4 linked regions of the Schizosaccharomyces pombe genome follow. Changing the gene in region 3 together with the main gene of any one other region gives a genetic interaction. Each region holds a gene or a part of one and is shown on either strand. Other genes may lie near its edges. The genes, in order: spo3, mug27, dma1 and cdc7.

Region 1 (6,418 bases), 310 kb from region 3:
AAGAATATATAGGACTTAGTTCGTTAGAAATGAAAAAGAAAAATATCCTTTACCATAAATTACTTGACATATTGTTTAGTTATGTTCGTTATGCAAACGGGACGTTCTAAGCTATATGAAAACGCAGTGATTGTAAGCACTTTGTCGATGTAGTATTTCGTTGAATTTCGTTGTTAGTGGAATTAAAGAGATGCAGATAGGGTACGGTAATATTGAAGTGGTCTTCAGTATGCCAGGAACAAATGCTGAATACCTGAATAAAAATATAAGAATGCGCTAGTAATCTTTAAATCATGTGCGGGCTTCCACAGGTAACATAACAACTTGTAAATAGGATTAAAAACATTATGCCAATAGAAACATCTTAATAATATATATGGAAGACATTGATGACTTTGGACTTTTGGCACAAGTTCTCAACTCCTATTCGTATTTAGTTATCATTTGCGTGCCAACATAATGGATGTAAAAATTCATTCATTCTTTTGCTTACGATCAAGAGCAATTGTGTAGTTTTAGCCAGTTGAAATAAGTAATGAGTATAATTAATTTAATTTGATACGTGTTATATATGTAAAGTATATTCACAAGTCACATATATTATTGTGTTGAAAAAAATCGTTAACATTATCAAAAAACTAAAAAACTACATAATGCGAGGTGGAAGGTTCACAACTTGGTTGTTGAATCCTTCATACAAACGGTAAGCGTGATCCATGAGACATGCATAATCAAAGTAATTGAAGGTGTAGCAAGACATATATTCTCGTTTTCTTAACATAGCTTGCAAACCATCCATCCGTAAAGATAAATAATCGGTCGGGACTGTGTAATACTTTCTGATCTTAGCCATTAGCTGATGCAAAGCACGGACTTCCCACTTCTCTAAAAGTGGTATATTTTCAGGATTCTTATGTCGTAAGGCTCTAAGGACTCGAAGTTCTGCAGCCACCAGATAAGAATTTTCGGGCAGAGGCTCATATAAATCAAGATCAATTTTGTCAGGCTTTTGACGATTCAAACCAGCATGCTCTGCTCCAGCAAAAAGATTGCTTGCAGAAAGCTTAAACCAATGAGGGAACAAGGCACTGTTTATGTCTACCATTGGCGGAGTGCTAACACACAAATCTTTCCTCCACTGTCCGTTCATAATATAGGGAGATCCGGTCGGAATCCTTCCAGATTTCGAATAATTTAAGTACAGAACATCTGGATAAAACGTTCTCCATAGATCGTACTCATATCTCGTAAACGAAGTAGTTGGCTCTACAATCCGAAGAGAAAGTATCCTTCGTAGTATGCTAATTTCTTTATTTTCGTCAATTAGATAGTAGGCCATACGCTTCAGTACTTCATTTTTGTGTACTTCAGCACGAGAATGAGTTCCACAAAACTCATAAATTTCATTGGCAGAGTATTTAAAGGATAGCATATTGTGAAAATCTTTGAATGCCTCCTCTCTCTCTATTAATTCCTCTTCTGAAGGAGCGCAATGAATTTCAAACCCAAAATGTAATAAAATGTTGTTTCTCGTTGCTTCATAATCTAAAACAGAACCGTATATAACACGACCTATGCCGTCTGAAAAGACTTCGTATATGCTACCAGATCTCTTAAGAGGTTTAGATATAAATATGTTTTGGCATGCGTATTTGCTAAAATAGTCACACCTTTTTTCGTAAATTTCACCGGGTCGTGGAAACGGGACTTTCTCATTAGATTGAAGAAACTTTTCACGAAAAGCAGCTTTAAATTCAATTTCAGGAGAATAACGATAGTCGTCTCTCTTTTTCTGGCATGCCTTTTGAAACTCTTCATAGTAAAACTTTTTACCGCTCTCTAAAGGCGGCTCATTTAATGATATTAACTCTGCAATGGCTACCAATTCGTGACTAGTAAAAAGCCTGTCAGAGCTAAATCGAGATAATTTATTTAAAGGTTCTTCATAAATGACCGCTTTAGGCGGTTCACTTTTAACTTCGGTTAAGCGATCGCGACAGGAATCAGCTTCTTTGTCGAGGAATTCAAAGCATAATTGCGGAGTTATAAATGAAGTGTATCGTAAATTTAAATACCACCAATCCTCAAGTTCATCTTCAGATAGGATATCATCTATCGTTACAGCTTTTAAAGTTGATTCCTGTGTGAAAGCAGCATAATATAACGCAGCATAAACATATTCAAAATCCCCCTTAACTTTGTATTTTTGGATTAATCTCGTCTCCCTCAGACCCTTTGTTGACTTTAGATTACTCGAGGCGACAAAGGCTTGTTCAGTCATCAGCTGGGTCGAGCTTCTAAGGAGCTGCAAAATTGTCGGAATGTAAACAGTATCCGATTTAACTCGTCTAACATTGAAGTTTAAATGATTAGACACATAAGGGTTCGAAATCGCTCTCCTATCATAGTTTGAAAGTTTTTTAATCGTATCTTTATTTCCAAATACACCAAGCCAAAGTTTATTGTGAGGACCATCTCGCGCTCGCTGAAGATTTTTTAGTGATTCCTCACCTTTTATTATCATTGTCTCATAAACACGGAGACGCCATTCGACATATAGTGCAATAATGACCCTTGCATTAAAAAATGGTAATGCGTCAAGAAAGTCTGAGTCGGTAAGTGCTGTGCAATCATCCTTGAACAGTTGAAAGCGTTTTTTCACATTTCGGAAACCTTGAGGATTGTTTCTCCTAGCTTGATGATGAGCTGAAAAAGGTGGATACGTAGCAGAAGACTGGAACTTTGGAAAGTTTCTTTTAGTCTTCTCAATTTTTTTTTCATATTCCTTATCATAAACACCAAATTGATCAAAACAGTCTTCAAAATCACTTAGATTACTAACAACACTGGAAGCATCGCTATTACAGATGTAATCAACTGTGTCATTAGGTATCCATTCGCTATTGCTATTAAATCCAGTAAATTCGTTTTTTTGAGAGCTTAGTCCATCCAGGGAATCGTTAGACAACGTGCTTATTGTTGATGAAAGTGTTTCAGTCAAAGGACTGAAGGAGCCGTCGGCAGAAACAGCTGTAACTGCATTAATTTCTGAATCTCGCTTGTGATCAACCATAGATGGCTTTTTAATAAATTCAGGGGAAAGAAAATTTGTTTCCATTTGGGTTTCGTAAAAGTTGAAGCAGTTTTCACCGTTCACAATAGGAACCAAATTTACTGTTATAAGGGGATCAAGCTTATTTTTTTGAATCCTTGAAAATTTCCTGTTGTCGTCCAAATTTATCTGATGTGATAGATCATCCTGGATAACAAATGGCTCTTCTGAAAATAATGCTTGCTCCATATTGCTAGGGATGAAAGCAGGCTCAACTTCTGTAATTGAAACAGTAGGTATTTTCTTAAATTGTTGCTGTTTTTTCATTTCATCGATACCATTAGGTGAATAAAAAAAACGTTCTGTCGACAATTTACGACAAGCAATGTCTTCCTTACTTGACTTGATAGACGAAGCAGAGTCAAAAGAAGGGCATGCAGTAGGGCTAGGTGCTTGAAGATTTGCTGTGTCTCCCTCAACTGTTCTCCTAAATGGAGAATTAAGAGGTGTTAAGGGACGACATTCGCTATTAGGTGATGGAGTGTTTTGTTTGTCACAAGCAAACGCATTGATTTCTCCCCTTTCCAGTTCATCAATTGAAGAGTTTCTCTTTCGAGAATTAAAACTGAAAAGCCTTATTAAGCAATAAATGAAAATTCTGATGACAGACAAAATCCCCATTTTATTTTTGAATCAAATTACCACGAGGTAATGGCTTTTGAGACTAAACAAGAAAATATTATTTTATATAATATTTTCAAAAAGACTTATAGAAAAACTTATTATGAAACAGTATTCGTGGCAATTTTGAATACTTTTGATATAATAGGACGTAAACAATCGCTTTGAAAGAGATTAGAATAGGTCAGAATTAAAAAAATAAATAAATACAACACCCTAATAAGAGCGTTCCAGAGTTAAAGAAAGAAGAGTCAAAAAAATCGCGATATCGATACTAAACAAAATTGCGATCAGAAGAAGCACAAGGTGCCGAAAAAAAAATATTGACACAAGAAGATAAGAATGCAACAGTAATGATATTTGACAAAAATCAATCGGTAAAGAAAAGAAAGTTCGTACTAAAGGCTCTATATATACAAAAAAAATGCTGCTTTAAATATCACTCAAACCGAAACAATCGACTCTGTAAACAAACAGAAAAACAGTGCTTATTCGACAAAACATTCAAAAGTGTGGGGAAACTTTTATTAATCAGTTTCTTACTGGTTTAAACAAAATATAACAAGGCTGAGCAAAAAAAATAGGAGTCAAAGGCTTTACCAAAAGCTTGATGCGAGTGTTAACTCATTGAAGCGCACATCGTCCATCTTTTTTACTTGATGATCTACACATGATCATCTCTAACAATGAGGGAAGTTTTGCATTCAGATTATATGAGTTGTTTATACAAGTCGCATATGAACATTCTGAAACGAGGGTACGGAAATGATGGAATATACTTTAATAGTTTAAAGAGAGTTAAAATGAGTGCATCATCATATCTGGTATGCATTTTCGATTACAGGGAGAGGGTGGTACTGTAAAATTACCATTTTACAGCACGAAAACTCCTTTTGTTTATCAGTAGATTAAAAGGATACTCTCATTAGTAAGTTTAGTGGATTAAATAGTATTAACAGCATGTGCTTAAAAAATGTTGAAACATGTCGATGGCACTGTGATCGCATAATAATTCATTATGCTCATTGAAGTTAATATAAAACCAAAGGAAATCTAAGAGATTATAAGTCTCTTAGCTTTACTTAAAAGAGATTCTAAAATTCAAACTCTAAAGTGCGTCTGCAAACAGCTGTTTGCTGTAGCTGCTGGATTTATGAACCATGGTGAGGTGCGATTTGTAAACTAGAGAATGATAGCGAAACGCTCGTTAAAACGCCAATATCGCACTTTCTATGGACAGTATTATAAATTTGTAGTACAGCATCAAGCATAATATAATTCCCAGTAACTAACATAATGATCCCATTACTGTTAAATGTAATGTGTTATGGGTCAAAGCAAACAAGGCAAATTTGATAATGAACGAGATGATTTTTCGGTTCGGTTTCCAATTCGTTATTATAAACAGTCGTAACGGAGCGTCAAACCTTCATTTAGTAAAAAAAAAAAAAAAAAATTGACTAAGCAATACGAAATATCTATAGTAGATACATGCGTATTACTATTTTATATTATTGTTGAGCAAAGTGATAATGCAATAACGATGTTAACCGTAGTTCGGTAAAGACACATTCATACGATATTATATTCAATTTGTTTTGATTTACGATTTAGAGTTTTTAAACATAAGCAAACGAAGATCGGAATTAAACCAAAATAAATCTCGTGCCAAAAACAATAACTTCATAAGTAGAAGCTGTAGACACGTGAATAGAATATTTAAAGATGTTGTAATTGTTTTCCTGGGAGATTTCAAGAAGTGCTAACCGAAGCATGAGTAAACTAGGAGCTTTTCGATCACAGCAAGCAAGGCATGTCAGTTACTAGTCGTTGAAATTTTAGTAGGGTAAGCTTTAGCTTGATAGCGGTTGCTTGGAAAAAACAGTGTAACATTCAAAATCGGTTTCTTTTGAACCTGACAACATTACCGTAATAATTCAATCGCTCAATACGCCATTCGTGAAGGGTAGTAGCCTTTCTCTTACGAAGTTACTAAAAACTCAATTTTTTTTGTACCCTTAAGCGCTTACGAGTTCTTTTCTTCAACTTATTGCTACTCGAATAATAAATGTTAAACATATCTCGACTTGCTTTTCAGTTCGTTGATCCTCGCTATTTACAGTTTGTAACAAGTTAACTCGTCTATGAAGTCATCGATAGAAGGGCTTTAAAGTGTGCTATTTGCGAAACAACAGCAAATTTGTAGACTAGCACTTTACAAAAGTCTACTATCGTATTGCCGGTTCAAACTAAAATTTATGACCTCAGTTTCTACTAAATATAGTACGAATCATGATTAAATTGAGGTTAACAAAAGATGCGAAAGTAGGGTGTTGCTTCCTAATTTTTGGATTGTTAAACAACCTTCTCTACGTGATAATTTTATCCGCTGCCTTAGATTTGGTTGGCGCAAACGTTTCTAAGGGTGTGGTACTACTTTCTAATATTGTTCCTTCTTTGGCGTGCAAGTTGTCAGCATCAATTCTTCATGTTCATAAATTTAAGTTTGCAAAGAGAATCGGTTTTTGTGTTTTCATGTCCATATTAGGAATGCAATGGATTGCTTGGTCTTCCTCCGTCCCTTCGAAAATGCTTGGTGTATCTCTGGCAGCCATTTCATCGAGTTTTGGCGAAATCTCTTTCTTGCATCTATCAAGTCGTTATCACTCTGTGTCTTTACCGTGC
Region 2 (4,505 bases), on a different chromosome or scaffold from region 3:
GGATCGAAAAGACCACTCTTTAAATTTAAATTTTTCACGTTGATAGCGGAAAAATCCACGGCAGATGAAAACGTCTGTTCCGATTTTTTTTTCGACACTATTTCGAGCTCTTTGAAGGGGCTAAGATTTCGCTGTGACTGAATATTCGATGCAGAATCGGAAAATGACGGTACTTCATGAATCAGGGTATTGGTAGGTACTTCGTCAAACTCTTCCGATTTCTTAAACTGAGCCAAAGGATGAAGATAATCATCGTTAGAGCTAATTTCAATGGCATGGGTGTCTGAGCTAGGCTCGATATCATAATCAATTGTCGTTCTGTCCCACTCGTGAGCACTCCCAGTGCCGCCATTGCTAACTAGCATTTCTATGGCTTTAATGGTTATAATGCCTTCTATCTTCTATTTCACTTTCAAAGAGCGAGGAATGAAAATTGAATTCAAGGCTGCAACTGGATATAGGTGAAGGGTAAAAATTTATCTGTCAAACTGATGACTCGATCCGAGGGTCACGTCATGAAGCTAACGAAGCGACGTTATATCGTCGGACTTAAAAGTTTATTTGAATATAAACTACTTTTAAGCGTACAGGTTGATCTACCTACAAGAAAGATACGTTTACAGTAGAATTTTCAAAATTTTAGTGGGTTTTCAGCTGGATTAAGGATGCAGTTCTCTCTAAACAGTCAAGAATTAACTATTTACTTATAATTAATATTCATATCTCCCTTTTATGGAGAAATATGCTGATTAGTTTCGAGCGGAATACGCTGCTTGGCTCATCGATTCCGAATATGCTGTGGCTCAGAACGCTTTTCATGTCGCAATAACGAGACTTTTCGGCGTTTCTCAATGGTAATTGATGCGTTATTATCTGGATTTAGAGCAAAAATTCATACAGGTCTTTGCCTTTTCTTTCCAGAAGCCGATGGACTCTTGATGACTTAGTTTTGTGACCCTTTGTTTTTGATCGCTTGTCCTCATCCAGGTCCTCAATAGCAGTGGTGCCTTTGTTATGACTAACGGTGATTAAATCCTTTTGTTTAGTGCTATTATTTTTCTTCTCCGGTTTCTCTTTGCGAAGTTGTCGCTTTTCACGATGCCGACCCACCAGTGGCTTTCTTGCGTTGGGTCGATACTTGAAGGTGAAACCAAGAAATTGTCTTTGATTACCGTTCATAACTCCATTGCTTTTTGCTTTTTGCTCTGCCTTCCTTTGCTTTTCGTACACATCTTTGTACGCATCTAGTACCTGTTCGTCATTGAAATCATCAAAATAGGAAGTATCAAGTTGATTCTCCAAGCGGGGAACAAATGGTGGCACAGCTCTTTTCCGCAAACCGTTCCAATGGAGTCTCTTAAAAAATGGATGCTTTTGGATTTCGATTGTGCTTTGAAATCTTGACGTTGGTTCTGTTAGACACTTGGTGATGAAAGACCATGCCTCGTCTGAAACCGATCTCGCTTTTTTGTCGTAAATTCCATTTTCATTTTTGGAGGGTCTCTGCAACATTTCTCGCCAGTAGTATAGATTAGTCCACGTTTCTTGGAGCGTTGACCCAGAAAAGGGAGGATATCCTACCAGACATTCATAACATATGCAGCCAAGTGACCAGTAGTCTACGGTCCTATCGTATTTCTTTCCGTAAACAACTTCTGGAGCCATGTATTCAGGAGATCCAACAACGGAATTTACCTAATTTTTTTTTAGTTTACGTTTGAATCAAAATGTCTTTACCTTGTTCTCATTCTTTTCCAAAAGCGCTTTATAAATGTTTCTTCTTTGCTTTTGTGTTAAATAAGGTCTCTGAGGATTAACCGCGCTCACTAGTGCATGTTGAAGTCGATTTACCTGATTCGATGTAACAATTGCAGTACTTAGCCCAAAGTCACTAAGCTTGATATGTCCCTTTTGATCAATTAAAAAGTTCTCGGGCTTTAAATCACGATGCATATAACCTAGTTTGTGGACTGCACTGATTGCAGCGACCATTTCTGCTAGGTAAAATCGGGTTTGATTTTCATGCAAAAGCCCCTTGGTAGTCAAAAAAGTTCGAAAATCTCCTCCAGGGACGTATTCCATTGCTAGATATACTTTTTCCTTATCTTGAAAGGCATAATACAGTTTTACAAGCCATTCGGAATTAGTATTCGTTAGTATATCTCTTTCATTCAATATGTGTTTCACCTGAGCCGTTGTTAGTTTTCTTTTAAGATCTTTAATAGTGTCTTCTTACTTCATTAAGTTGCTGTAATGTTGATTTTTTCATCATTTTCATTGCTAACAATTCGTGTGTGTTGCGCTTTTTAGCAAGCCACACAGAACCATATCCTCCTTGTCCAAGCTTTACTAATAAATCGAAATGGCTACATTGAATCTTGGTTCTTTTTTTTCTCAAAAATGCTCTTTCCCTTCCACAATGCTCTTTCCATAGTCGCTTCTGTTTAGATTGTTTTAATGACGATGTACACGCTGTAAATTCTTCCAATCTTTCCTTCCTTAGTTTATGGTACTCAATTGTGCTAATATAGTAATTGAGGAAGAAAACTTGACAGGCCATCCGCTTTCTTCTTGTCTCGGGTCGACTAAGTATTTCAACTTCACTGGGCTTTAGTAATTGGTAGTAAGTTAAACCTTTAGGATCATTTCTTTTCGTCCAGCAATTTTGTCTTTCTTCGTTGAGCACCATGCGTTCATTTTTCGAAGACACACTTGCTGACGCATTTTCCCTGTCTCGTAAATAGCCGCTTGATAGTAAAAATAAATCAGAAAATTCGACTCCATTTTCTTTTGCCTTTGATACTAGTTTGTTATTGTCTAATTCTTTAAGGCCCAGTAGGTCCATTCTATGTTTGTGGAATCGTTCTATAAAATTGTCCCAAGTGAATTGCTTTTTCCATGCAATGGATTCTTTCCTTTTTTTGCTCCTATTCAAGTTTATGTGAGCTCAATTTTGAAATTTATTTTGAGTACACGTTGTGCCTGAATAAAACTCGATTCTCCCAGCAAATGTAAACAAACACCGGGTTCTGGGAATTTTTACAAAGATGATACATGCGCAGTAAAATTTACTTAAAAAAGGTTAAATAAAAAATTATATTTCGAATTCTTTTGCGCGATTAAAATAAATTTTTTTTACGAATATGTGTGATTATTTCCTTTATAATCAGGGAGATACAAACACCAAAATGGTTAATCGAGAACAAAAAAAAATAAAAAATAAATATAAATCTTGGAATTAGCTTATTTTGTCAATTAAATTCTCCAACTAAGTAGATATGTACTGGTGATTAAGAAAAGCTATATACTTCAACCGCAAACTATCCAGATTATTATTTATGTTCTTGTGATGATATAGAAGGAGACCTAGAATTGCTTTCTTTATCCGTTTTTATTTGCCTTGAAAGACTCCTGTTTTGTCGAATCAAATCTTGAAGCCTTTCTCTGGCACCCAACTTGTCTCTTTTACGACCTTCTTGCTCAGCCTTGAGTTGAAACTCCATCTCTCTTAGTCTCAACTGCCATATATGGCTCATTCCTTCAGCATCTCGTTTCAAAGCTGTGATACCTCTTTGAACTGCTGACTTATCTGGAGAAGCGGGAACAAGCTTTTTATCCTCGGAATCCAAACTAACGCGTTTTGAAGCCCTTGGCGAATTTGGAATAGATGAAGTTGACCCAGCGCCTAAAAGTTTCACTCGTTCTTCCAACTGTGATAAACGCTTACTTCTAGCCTCAAGTACACCATCAAGCTTCCTGAGTTCGGTCTTAAATTCCCGCTCCATTGATTGACACTTCCGTTTGAATTCTTGAATGGATTTGTCCAACTCCCTAAAATTCATATTTACTGCCTGATTCATGCTTGAAATTGTCGTCAATGCTTCAACGTTGGTATTTACAGGCTTACTTCCCGTATTCAGTTGGGTAAAACGAGTGACAATGTTTTTTATGAGGGAATTTCTTTCTTCCACTTGCTCTTTAAGGCGTTTTTCAGATGCTTGTAAAAGTTTAAGTTCTCTAGATTGACTCCTTTCAGAAGGACTGGAAGATCCAGAGAGGTTTCTTCTGAAAGCTTGTGAAGACAAATTTTCCAACTCTAATTGGATTGCTTTTTTGGATCGTCTTTCCGCATCCAGTAAGTTCTTTAACTCCTTCTTTTCAGACACTAACGTCTCCAAAGAGTTTGTTTTTTCTTTTAAACTTTGCTCACAATGGTAGATTTTTTTCATCAACTTATCAGTACCAGACTGATCCTTTTTATTCTCATCTTTTAGTTTTCTTATCTGTTGTACCAAATGGTTAACCGAGCAGTGGGTGACCTGTTTATCAAATGTTTCCATAATAGCATTCTGCAAAGAATCGAAATTTTCGCGAAGGGTAACGTATTGATTATTTCTTTCCTCAATCTCACTTTTTAAAGAAGAGTTTGATGACAATATACCTTCAAATTCACGAAGTTTTTTATTTAATGAATCTAATTCGTCATTGTGCCTTTCCTTCAAGTT
Region 3 (4,257 bases):
ATCGATAGTTTCCTCAAAAATTAAACTATCACTATTTTTTTTAACTATCATAATGATACCAATGTCACTCACTCTTTTGCCATACTAACATCGCCTCAGGAATCAGGGCCTTTATTAGATCGGCTGAAAAAAATCATTGATGAAGAAATGGTGAAAGATCGCACACTCAAAAGTAAAGACCAGTTTAGGGCTGCTCCTTTAATTGCAGGTGCCGTAGATAGGTAAGCTTACGACTTAATAATGGTTTTTTTTCTTTTCTTTTTGGAAACTCAGTCTAACCCATAAGATCTTCATTGTATGAAGATAGCATGGAACACATCCGAAGCAATGTTTTATCTGATCAAGATTTGAGGGAAGTTATTTATAATTCTCTTGAACAAATAGGGATTGAACAAATAGAGCATGAGGATGAAGAAAAATTGCTGAATAGTAAAACCATGGATGGGCGCAAATGAAGATAATTAGCTACTTAAAAGTTTGAAAAAGTTTTGTTATTGATTACTTCTAAATTGCATATACTGAACATACTTATTACAATTAAGAATTGTACTCTCGGGAATTTTACCAGCAATCACATTAGGTTGCATAAGAAGTGAATTAAAAGTTATAACATTTAATGATGCTGAAGGAGATAATAAATGGACTCTCAGAAGAACAACCACAATTCTTTCAGATTCGGATCTCTATTACTGCTGATTATTAGTACATTCATTTGTGATGCCAATGTTTCAAAAAAAATAAAAAAATGTGAGAGTATGTAGAGATCAGGTGTGAAGGACGACAGAAGTTAAGATTATATATCCATTTAGGATAATTATATTAATGCAGTAATGAATAAAAGAGACCAAGTAGCACTTGGTTTTCTCATCAATAAAATATTTAATCATTATGAGTGTTGATAAATAAAGTTAGGGAGGCATGCTTGTTTAATTCAATCATCAGGCAACAGCAAATGTCAAAGAGCCTGTGTTCCCATAATCTTCTGCCATGCTCATAAAGACTAAATATAATATGATCATTATGTTACGATGGTCATTAAAGGAAGAACTTGAGGACGTAAAAGACAATTAGTAACCATACTGAAAATAACAGTTTACTCAGATGCATCGTCTTTTACCGTTGCATTTCGTAGAAGGTCATTTAGACTTTCGTCACCTTCTTCAACAGGAGCCTCCAAATCATGATATTTTCTACATATAAAGCAACTGAAGTATGGGTGACTTTCGTTTAGGGTTGGGCGTATGCATTTATAGTGATAAGAGTGAGAACAAGGTGCAACGAACAATGCTTGACAAGGTAAAACAGGCATAAGACATATACAACATTCCGGAGGACCCGATTCAGAAGATCCGCATAACACCAGTTCTTGCATTCTTTTGAATTCGTTAAGGTTGTAAGGACTAAGCTTAATTTTCCAAGAGTTGTTTAGCTCAACTCGGGCACGAACACAACGATAGTTGACTTCATGACCTCCTCTATAATCCGCCCCAAGTTGTAATATGTCGTTGTTCGAGATGGGATAAGGCTTACTCGTTTTTGACGGCGGTGATAAACGAACATGGTTCAAAAATGTACCAGAACTAGAACCCATATCTTGAATGTACCAAGTATTGTTTTCATAAAATATTTGTGCATGCCTTCTACTCACAACTTTGGAACGGAAGACAATAGCAGAAACATCACCGCCGTTGTATCGCTCTGTGTATCTTCCTATGTAAATGGGTAGATTATTTTGCTTGCGGTTCCAGTAGCGAACTAACGGATCAAAAGAGAAAGAATGTGCATTGGGACCGACAAAGTTAGTTAAACGAATTGATATTTTATCGTCGTCCTTTTCAGAATCAGTCTCAGCGGCAAGTTCCTGTTCTTTGAGGTATCCCTCAACAGATTTTGTCATTTTTTGGAAAGAAAAGCTTTATTAAAACAATTGAATGGAGGATAGAAAGTTACAAAAAACAAATAAATTAATGTTAAAAGCTTTTGAAAATTGTCTTCCGTATACCAATTTGATGTTATCCAAGAAAAAGTTCAAAGAAATATGCCTTCCTTCTAGTAAATTGAAGATAAGGTAAGTTTCAAATCTATTGCTAACAAAATACGAAAGTATATGGGGTTGTTGTGTTTATGTATTAAAGTTTGGAAGCAACAAGAGACAAAAACGAAAACAAAGGCCTCAAAAACAAACAAACTGTTGAAAGCTAAGGAAGGACAGCAAACAGAACTCTTAACTGAATTGCACACTTTAATTCCGAAAAGAAACACTTTTAATAATCAACCAGAATTTAGCTGTAAATGAAAAGCAATCGAAAAAATGATAGTTTTCGCTGTTATCAGAAAAATATGTTATAAATTATGAAGCCAATTTAGTAGAACAAGTAAATTGCACACAGTAAACGGTCAAATGGTGCTGCAAACGAATACAGTTAATGCTATGCCGCCTCGAAAGGCGCATGACTAATTCGGTATCCAACTTACGGTACAACACAATGTTTTCTTCGGTATAGTAATTGTGCATTAAATAAAACAAAACAAATAATAAAAACAAATAAAAAACTAGATGCGTCGCATAAACAATGACGATGATGGTATTTTGTCTATCTTTGTCTCACCATACAGATGGACTTAAGCAACACCGTTTTTATGTTGAATAATTTATTGTTTTAGTATAATTTAGAATTTAGCTGAAAATCCATCAAACAAAAAGTAAGTTGAAATGAGTAGTTCCGAAAATATCTTTAGCATTTCTATTTTTATAGATTTGGACTTGAGTCATTTCATGGTATATATCCCTTTCCGATCACGGTAGACAATTGTGAAATTACTTGCTTTTAATAGACTATATTAGAAAACTAGAACGAAACTAAATGAAATACAAGGATTTATGATAATTCTATGAAAATGAAAAGATAGACAGGTCAAAACTTCAAAGCAAATGAAGCCTTTGTAGTAGCAAATGCCGAGTAATTTTAGGGACTGTGACTTTGAGTTTGCGATTCCAAATCATAATCAGACATGAAAGGTAAAGAATCAGAACGAGTTTGGTCATACTTTTCATTGGAAGAAGTGAAACGATGGAAAATCTTCCAACGGGACGGAGATGTCTTAGAAAACGGAGATGAAAATACCCGTCGACCAGTGCGGGAGACACGAGCGGCAGGCTTCAAAGCATAGCCAAATATAAAATATACAACAATGAAAAACGTCAAAAAACCAAGAAATGTAAAAATGGCCCAGTGATGCAACATATAGAATACAAATCCAGCGTCACTATCGTGCCATGATGAACCTTCATAAATTTCAAAAAATGCATGGTGGCTCTTTTCATACAATTCGGGAACCATCACCCAAATATGATGCCAAGCTTCGGCATCTGGAAGCTTCCGCCAAGCACTCCATATTATCGACAAGAACAATGGACCAGTCGAATACATTACGGTTAGGTAAGGGAAGTGGTAATTAAACGCGAATCTAGGTAGGTTTCTGACCACCTGTAAAAGAAATGGATGCCCTTTAGCAAATCCCATTACATTATTGCTAATCCCACTTGGGGAAGTTCTCCTCACCCATGCTGGATAATGCAATAAGGGATCAAGGGTTCGATTACAACCAACATCCAAATCCAAATATATTCCACCGTATTTGTAAAGAATAAAGTATCGAACGACATCAGCCCGTTCAATATTGTAAGGATAAGAATCATATTGAGTCAAAAACCAAGGATAATCAGTAGCAATAAACTCCCTCATGGATTCATCAGTCCACAATACATATTCATAATCAGGATGTAGATCAATGCAACTTTTCTGGGCACCAACCCATTTTTCCGGAATTTCGTTGGTTTTCCAAGTCTGATGTATAATTTTAGGAATAGCAGCAGACTGGTTTGAATAAATTTCATGATTATAAACGTCATCAACTTTAAGAAGGTCTGTCTTATAATTAATAAAGAACAGCATCATTGGACCTCCAAAAAGATAAACAGTAGCGGAAAGAATTAGTGTCAAAAAGAAAAAAAAGTAAAAAAGTATTTTGTTCATGGTGGCATCAAATATACGCTTCCAGCGAAATAAAATCAGGTCAGTTGTATATTCGTGCTTGGTAGATTCAGCACACAAAAAGAAATTTTGCAATAAAAGTATTTTAGTTGAAGTTAGATAATGCTAGATTTTAACAGATTCTAGTAAGAGGCAAGTTTTTGGTTCTCACTCTTTGCTTGCTTTTTAGGCAGTGTAATTAATTGGACTAAGAGGAAGGAAA
Region 4 (6,719 bases), on a different chromosome or scaffold from region 3:
TCGTTAAGAACATAAAGACATTTTGTATCATCATTAAATCCCATACCACCAAAGAATATTAATTTGTTATTCCATAAATCCCCTGAATGGAAATACCGTGGTATCGGCTTTTGATTTCCTTGATATTCAACTTGCTTCCAGGAACAAGTGTTAAGATCAACTACATACATATCATTAACAAGCTGCGCATTTAATGCATCGCGTCCTCCATATACAAAAGCCTCGTCTCCATATTTTATAACTGACTCCCCAATCAGCGGTTTTGGGACATTATTTGAAGATAAACTAAATGTAGAAGTAAAAATGTTTGTTGAATTTCTCAAAGATATATTCCTTTTTACTTCTGACATAGATATAAACTGTTTAGCAACTCGACGTTAATAAGAAATATCAAAAAAGTGATTTTTCCTTCCACATAAAAATTAATAATTACTGAAATGCAAACAGTCAAAAAAGATTTATGCAATAAACAAAGCAGCAAATTAATAGCCAAAAATGAGAAGCATAAAAATCATTGTTGTCCTTTTGTTTTAGTGCATATTTCTTCCTGTATTGCACTATCGTAGCGTTAACTGATATAGTGAAGTTAACTTTTATGCACACCTAGATTTTAAAATTCGAAGCACTTGAATGAATAAATATAAATATACACTGTGATAAGCATATTATAAACCTTTCTCTTAACGTTTCTAAGATTCATCAATATAGATTCGGTAAATAAATAGTCTTCATTGCGGTACTCAATTAGATTGTATTTCAGGTATAAACACAACTGGTAACGTACTTACACATGGAATGATAATATATTAATATTAAAATTAGCAAAACTTTCGTTTAAAAAATATTGATTCCATAATCCCAACCTTATTTATTAATCATTAAGCCATAAATACAGAAATATCATAAACAAGTAATATAGTCGTGCACTGGGAAATGCGTTTAATAGTGTTCACTGCGTTAATGGCTGCTTTGGTTGCCATCTAGGTGGAGGCATATGCGGTTTCGAAATGGGGGATTTGTGCTCATTGATGGGACCCTGTGGTACCTTCAGGTATTTCAGCAGGTCTTTTGCTAGTTCTTTAACAAGCACAGAATCACTTGTTTGGTTCAAATTTGCAACCACATCTGGTAAACCACAATGCGCAATATAAGCAACACTTTGGCTACTAGCTTCACACATTGATTTCATAATTTGAAATATGTTTAGGACCACAATCGGCTTGGTCCCCTTATGAGTTAACTTTTCTTTAAATTTCTGGAATATTATAGGCTGGCCATAAGAGGCTGCCAATCTTGGGGAAATTTGACAAACCCTGCCCAAAGTATCTAGCATTCTGTTTGAGGAAGCTGATTGAGAAATACAGAACACCTTTAACACTAATTGTACGTTTCTCTTCTCTGCCAAAACACGTTGTACTTCACGGAGTTCAAACTGCAACCAAGATGCGATCGTATCAAATACCGCAGATTGCCAATTAAGATCTGATAATAACGAGAGAAAAAAATCTAAGCATTTATTTTGCCAAAGATAAATTCTCGACACTGGACCAGCCTGTGGCAAAGCTAATAATATCGGCAGCGCAAACTCCTTAAACAGTCTGTCTTTAATAATCACCTCTTGCAATAATGGAATAGCACCAGAAATAACAGCCTCTTCTTGCGATTTCTTATCTAGCTTACACACATTGAATAAAGCGGCCAAAGCTTCGCTTCTAATTTCTTTTCGTCCTTTCTCAATTTTGCTGTCACCGAGAATATGTGTCAAAAGAGGTATTATATGAACTTTCCTAAGAAGCGACAAAGATGAAGGAACCATTGAAAGTTGCTTGAAAAACTGTAAGGTAATCGCCATATCAGAATGCGGCAGATAAAGCAGAATACGCAATATCCTTCGAAGAGCACTTTCGCAAAGAAGTGATTCCTTAACATAATTATCAGCCTGAGATAAAGCCAATAAAATTTCACATATACGTGTTAATGACATTCTTGAAGAATCATCGTCAGTAGCCAAAGCTTTCAGCATGGCTTTGGTCAAGGGCTCTAGTGAATCATTTACAACCATCGTACAGATATCATTTTTTGGAATGTAATCCTGTTGTCTCAGTAATTTCCATATTCCTTCTACGCCAACAAAAACAAAGTCACGGTTCGTTCCATAGTCCTCTTTAATAAATAATAAAAGCGAATTCAGACCATTTGAGCTCAAAAACATTTGTAATGTCAAAGCAGAAGTTCTATACATCTGTTGAATAAAGATAGCACTTTCATATCTAAACTCAAAAGAGTGTTCACGATTAGAGAATGACAACATAAGCGGTAAACCTCCAGCAAAGCAAACTTTTTGTAAAGTTGTGTGATCATCGAATGCAACCTAACGTTAGTAAAATCACGCATTAAATATCCTTACAGTGTTAATGAGCTTTAATAACAGCAATTGAACATCAGGCGTTTTTATTTCGCGCAATGTCTCTAAAAGTGGAAGGATACCATGCGCTTGTATTATCTCTCGTTTTAGAGAAAGATCTTCACTAAGTATAGAAGCCTATTGTCAGTTAAATTATCAATATAAAAATATGCACTTACTATTTGCGAAACAGTTGTATCCTTCGATCCGATATTCTTGTCACGTAGTGAGCCTAACAGACTGGAAAGTAAGGAAGCTAGATGCGTTCTCTTATCTAAAGCAATGTTGTTTTCAATATCCAAGTTTTCTAAGTTTGTTTCAATAGAGTCAAAGATATCCGATTCTTCCCCATCCTCATTTTCTTCATTATTCCACGAGCCATAACATTTGTTTAAAACCAAAGTCCCCAGTCCAGTCTCCTTTCTCAATCCTTGAACTTTGATTGAGGATGTAGGGAAAATATCAGTAAATTCACTATCTCTGGGTGTCTCGACAAATTTTTCAATTCCGTCTGGTATATTCTCTTTAAACTCTAGATAATTAGTTATATGTTAGTATCAGATACTTACCAGTTGACAAGTATCTTTTATGTTGCGGAGTTTTTTGATGATCTATTGACCGGTTGAGAGCGGGCTAAAAAAAAGGTTAATTATTTATTTAAAATCATTAAAAGCTCTAGAAAATCGAGCTGCATTATTTACCTTAGAGGGATCAAATTGGGCTTTGAGAGGAGTACTCAACGGTGATGCATTAAAGTTGTTTGATTCAGAGATTTGATCTGAATTAAAAGCATGGCGAGACTTCGAAGGGGATGATGTTATGGAGCTGGAATTATTTTTTCCTTTAAAGTTACTGCAAAAATCCATAAAATGCTCAGATTTCTTTAAAACATCGTCACTGATTTTAAGGGTTCCTTGAAATTCATTGTCCCAGTTATCATGATCTAAAAATGTTAGAGTAGTTAAAAAGTATCATAAAGCTACCTGGGGACTCGGCAATTGGTGTTTTTGGAGACTCAGGCATGTGATAAGAAGACTGCCTGCCAGAATGAAGAGTCGGATTGATTCTGTTGGAAGTAGGCTCGATAATAGCTGTCAAAGTGCTTTCTTTCACTCTTTCATTATATTTTTGAACCTCGTCTATAGCGTCAGAAAATTTAGAGGAGGTTTGGTTCATTATCACCCAAGGATGTTTAAGAAGTTTTCTGGTCTTAATTCGTAAATTTGGGTCCTTTTGGAAACATTGCATTAAAAAACTTTTAGCAGCCGAAGAAATATTTGAAGGCAAGGGAGGATGTTCATCTTTCACCATCCGAAAAAGAGCGGACGTAGGATCTAAATCATAATAGGGAGGATTTCCATCTAACAGTTCAATAACTGTGCAGCCAACACTCCAAATATCTGAGGCTGTTGTGGCGCCTACAAGCTCTATAACCTCGGGAGCCACTATATAAATTGTTAGTAATGTTATAACTATACGCTTAGAAAAGGCTTACTCCAATAGGGGCTTCCAACAACACTATGATCCTCTAAAGCATTAATTTTCGTCGCAACCCCGAAATCTGCTAACTTGATAGTGCCATCTTTAGTAGTAAGTATATTGGCACCCTTAATATCACGATGGATAACACCCTGATTATGTAGATAAAGTAGCCCTTGTAATACTTGAAACGTATATAAGGCCACTAGGTTTTCTGGAATCTTTCCAAAGTTTTTACAAATTGAGCGCAACGATCCGTTTTCGCAATATCTATATATCGTTAACTTGAAAACAATTTTTTAAAGAAAATCACGTACTCCAGAATAATGCATAGAGAATCGTTCGTCTGATAAGATCCCCTATATTTAACAATATTTGGATGCTACCACGTTTAGTATTTGGCGACCATTATAAACGAATGAGTAACATACGTCCAAATTTTTAAGCAAATCAATCTCCATCTAAAAATTGTTAGAGAAAAATAGTTGAGATCCCTTCATACCTTAATGACGGAAAGATCAGATTTTAGCATTTTGGATAGTTTAACTTTTTTTACAGCCACCGTTTCTCCATTCTTTATATTTAGACCACGGTATACTGCACCGAAGGCACCCTTGCCCAAGCAATCCCCAAGAGTCTGAATATGTTATTGAAAATCCAATGGCTATTAACATTAAATACTAGCATACGATGGAAGATGCTTGGATATTGTGCATGACTATTGAATAAGTTACAAATTAAAAATTGAATTTATTTGTAATTTTGAATGAAAAGACAATTTGGTTTTGTTTACGATGTAGCATTTGCTGCGTTTGAAGAAGTAAGGACTTTATAGTGTACATACACATTTAGTACGGTACCTGAACTTGCATGTTATAAACTCAAAAGAAGTAAATAGTAATAATTAAGCTATTTATAAAATCATTAATAAACAAAGATTCTCGTATAAAAGAAAAAGCGTATTATACAGACATATAAAAAATATTGGCAAGGATGGAACTAATCCGTTGGTTAAGTAATGTCAGTGGAAACACCATGTACATAGGAAGAATGAGTTCATTTTAGCTTGGAAAGTAAAGTAGAAAAGACAGTGATTTAAACTACGTTAAACAAGTGTCTGATGGTTATGAATCCGAGGAATCAAACTTTTCCTTGTAATGGGTTTAGAAGCATCAAAATCAACTTCCTGTAAACTCTTATTTTCATGATCGGTAGAGAAGTTACTGCAACAATCCAGTTTCCGTACCCATGCAGTACCTAAAATACTATCCAACGACGGCCGATTCTGGGAATCAGGATTCAGTAAACTTAGTATAATCTTCTTAGCACCTTCAGGTATATATCTGAGGGGCTGCAATGTAGGTATTTGTTTAATGACTTCGGTTTGGAAACTGGATTCATCAGTTGAAGAAATACCACAAGTATCTGTAAGGATTGACATATACTTTGAGTAGTAAAGATCAGTTTTCACGGAAGTTTTAAATGGAAAGTATCCAGTAAACAGAACTTTAAGCAAAATACCACATGACCACCTATCTGCTAAAAGACCACAATATTCTATCAATTGAACTATTAGTACGTCGTTTTTGAAATAGGATAGAGCTCGTCTTGCTACACAATTTATACACATAAGACTTACCATTTTCATGAAATGCTTCTGGTGCTAGATATGCCAAACTTCCAACAGCACCCGATACGAAACGAATGGATTCGTTATCACCAGGATTACCCACAATTTCGCTGGTACCAAAATCGGTGAGCTTTAACAATCCATCCCTTCCGATTAAGATGTTTTCCGGCTTTAAATCTCGGTGCGCAATACGTTGAGATTGCAAGTAAGCTACTGCTTGAAGAATTTGCTTTAGATAACAACATTTGTCTTCTAAGGTCAAAACTTTTTCTTCAATTTGCTTAAATAAATCGCCTTGAGGACAGTACTCTTGAACCAAACAAAACCCAGCGGATTTATTAAATACGCTTGTCAAAGTCACACAAGGGCAGATAACTTTCAGAATATTAGGATGGTCCAATTTTGGTTGGATTGACCATTCCCTTAAAAAATAAACCATTGTATTCAATCTTTTTTTATGCGATGTTTTCGTTTTCCGATATACTTTGGCAGCATAGTATATCTTTGCGTCGGTGATTTTATCTCTGTGAGTTACAACCTTGATTGTAGAGGTGGCCCCTTTAGCTATTGATTTTAGATGCTGAAAGTCTAAGCGAAATCTTATTTCGGGTAATATACGCTTCAGTGAAGGATCTAATCCAATTGCGAAGTCAGACATTCCAATAAACGAAGGTTGAATTGAATGAACGGAAAGTAAGCTAGTATTACTGTCTAAGTATTCATTTTCTAACCATGGTGCAGTAATTGTACTTGGCTTTATAACGACGGAAGACTTCTTGGTTGTTGATTTAGAAACATTTATTGAAAAAAATTGGAAGAACTCTTTAGGAAATCTCCCAAAAATATTTTCAATCGAAAGACTATTCTTATTCTCTGAATTCCTTTGAATTGCTGAATTGTCCACGAAAATTGTCCCCTGGCGAAAAAAAGGATAATTAGTCATTAGTGACAAGCCGCTGAAGCTAAGAAGCCTAGTTACGACTTCAAATTGATTGATTTTTTATGTACTTCTTCTTTATTTTCTTACTAAAAAAAGAGTGTTTTCAGAACAACCTCATCATTTATTCTGTTTAGATAAAGAGTTACGTGTTAGCAACCTCAAAATTGCATAGTTGTAATCATAACGTCTTTGAAAGAAACGAAATTTCCAAAATCATATGCTCACGAATGCCTAAATCGATGAACGACCGTTTACGCATCTACGAC

Evidence for each region.
Region 1: of dma1 (region 3) and spo3, changing one enhances a phenotype caused by changing the other (phenotypic enhancement), as found in Schizosaccharomyces pombe (one study listed by BioGRID).
Region 2: of dma1 (region 3) and mug27, changing one enhances a phenotype caused by changing the other (phenotypic enhancement), as found in Schizosaccharomyces pombe (one study listed by BioGRID).
Region 4: of dma1 (region 3) and cdc7, changing one enhances a phenotype caused by changing the other (phenotypic enhancement), as found in Schizosaccharomyces pombe (one study listed by BioGRID).

What each region holds. Positions count from the first base shown.
Region 1 is NC_003424.3:2,051,260-2,057,677, reverse strand, and holds spo3 (sporulation protein Spo3), read right to left. Parts: upstream 4,881-6,418; 5' UTR 3,734-4,880; coding exon 647-3,733; 3' UTR 501-646; downstream 1-500. Other genes in the region: V-type ATPase V0 proteolipid subunit vma11, read right to left, coding at 1-14, 54-70; btn1 (battenin CLN3 family protein), read left to right, coding at 6,026-6,418. UniProt on the Schizosaccharomyces pombe protein: Has a role in spore morphogenesis. Involved in the assembly of the forespore membrane.
Region 2 is NC_003421.2:1,676,592-1,681,096, forward strand, and holds mug27 (protein kinase Mug27/Slk1), read right to left. Parts: upstream 2,846-4,505; coding exon 2,237-2,845; exon of another isoform or gene 2,188-2,236; coding exon 1,738-2,187; exon of another isoform or gene 1,696-1,737; coding exon 880-1,695; 3' UTR 502-879; downstream 1-501. Other genes in the region: cfh2 (chitin synthase regulatory factor), read right to left, coding at 1-365; gamma tubulin complex linker Mto1, read right to left, coding at 3,333-4,505. UniProt on the Schizosaccharomyces pombe protein: Has a role in meiosis.
Region 3 is NC_003424.3:2,357,477-2,361,733, forward strand, and holds dma1 (mitotic spindle checkpoint ubiquitin ligase Dma1), read right to left. Parts: upstream 2,396-4,257; 5' UTR 1,898-2,395; coding exon 1,094-1,897; 3' UTR 552-1,093; downstream 1-551. Other genes in the region: Set1C complex subunit Shg1, read left to right, coding at 100-221, 287-455; mannosyltransferase Imt3, read right to left, coding at 2,967-4,037. UniProt on the Schizosaccharomyces pombe protein: Probable E3 ubiquitin-protein ligase which is a component of the spindle assembly checkpoint, required to prevent septum formation and premature exit from mitosis if spindle function is compromised.
Region 4 is NC_003423.3:3,221,832-3,228,550, forward strand, and holds cdc7 (serine/threonine protein kinase SIN pathway Cdc7), read right to left. Parts: upstream 4,675-6,719; 5' UTR 4,600-4,674; coding exon 4,573-4,599; exon of another isoform or gene 4,521-4,572; coding exon 4,386-4,520; exon of another isoform or gene 4,345-4,385; coding exon 4,315-4,344; exon of another isoform or gene 4,266-4,314; coding exon 4,201-4,265; exon of another isoform or gene 4,154-4,200; coding exon 3,900-4,153; intron 3,850-3,899; coding exon 3,388-3,849; intron 3,348-3,387; coding exon 3,106-3,347; intron 3,038-3,105; coding exon 2,974-3,037; intron 2,937-2,973; coding exon 2,584-2,936; intron 2,543-2,583; coding exon 2,408-2,542; intron 2,372-2,407; coding exon 950-2,371; 3' UTR 520-949; downstream 1-519. Other genes in the region: Ras1-Scd pathway protein Ral2, read right to left, coding at 1-350; serine/threonine protein kinase Ppk24, read right to left, coding at 4,989-5,440, 5,523-6,456. UniProt on the Schizosaccharomyces pombe protein: Protein kinase essential for cell division. Plays a key role in initiation of septum formation and cytokinesis.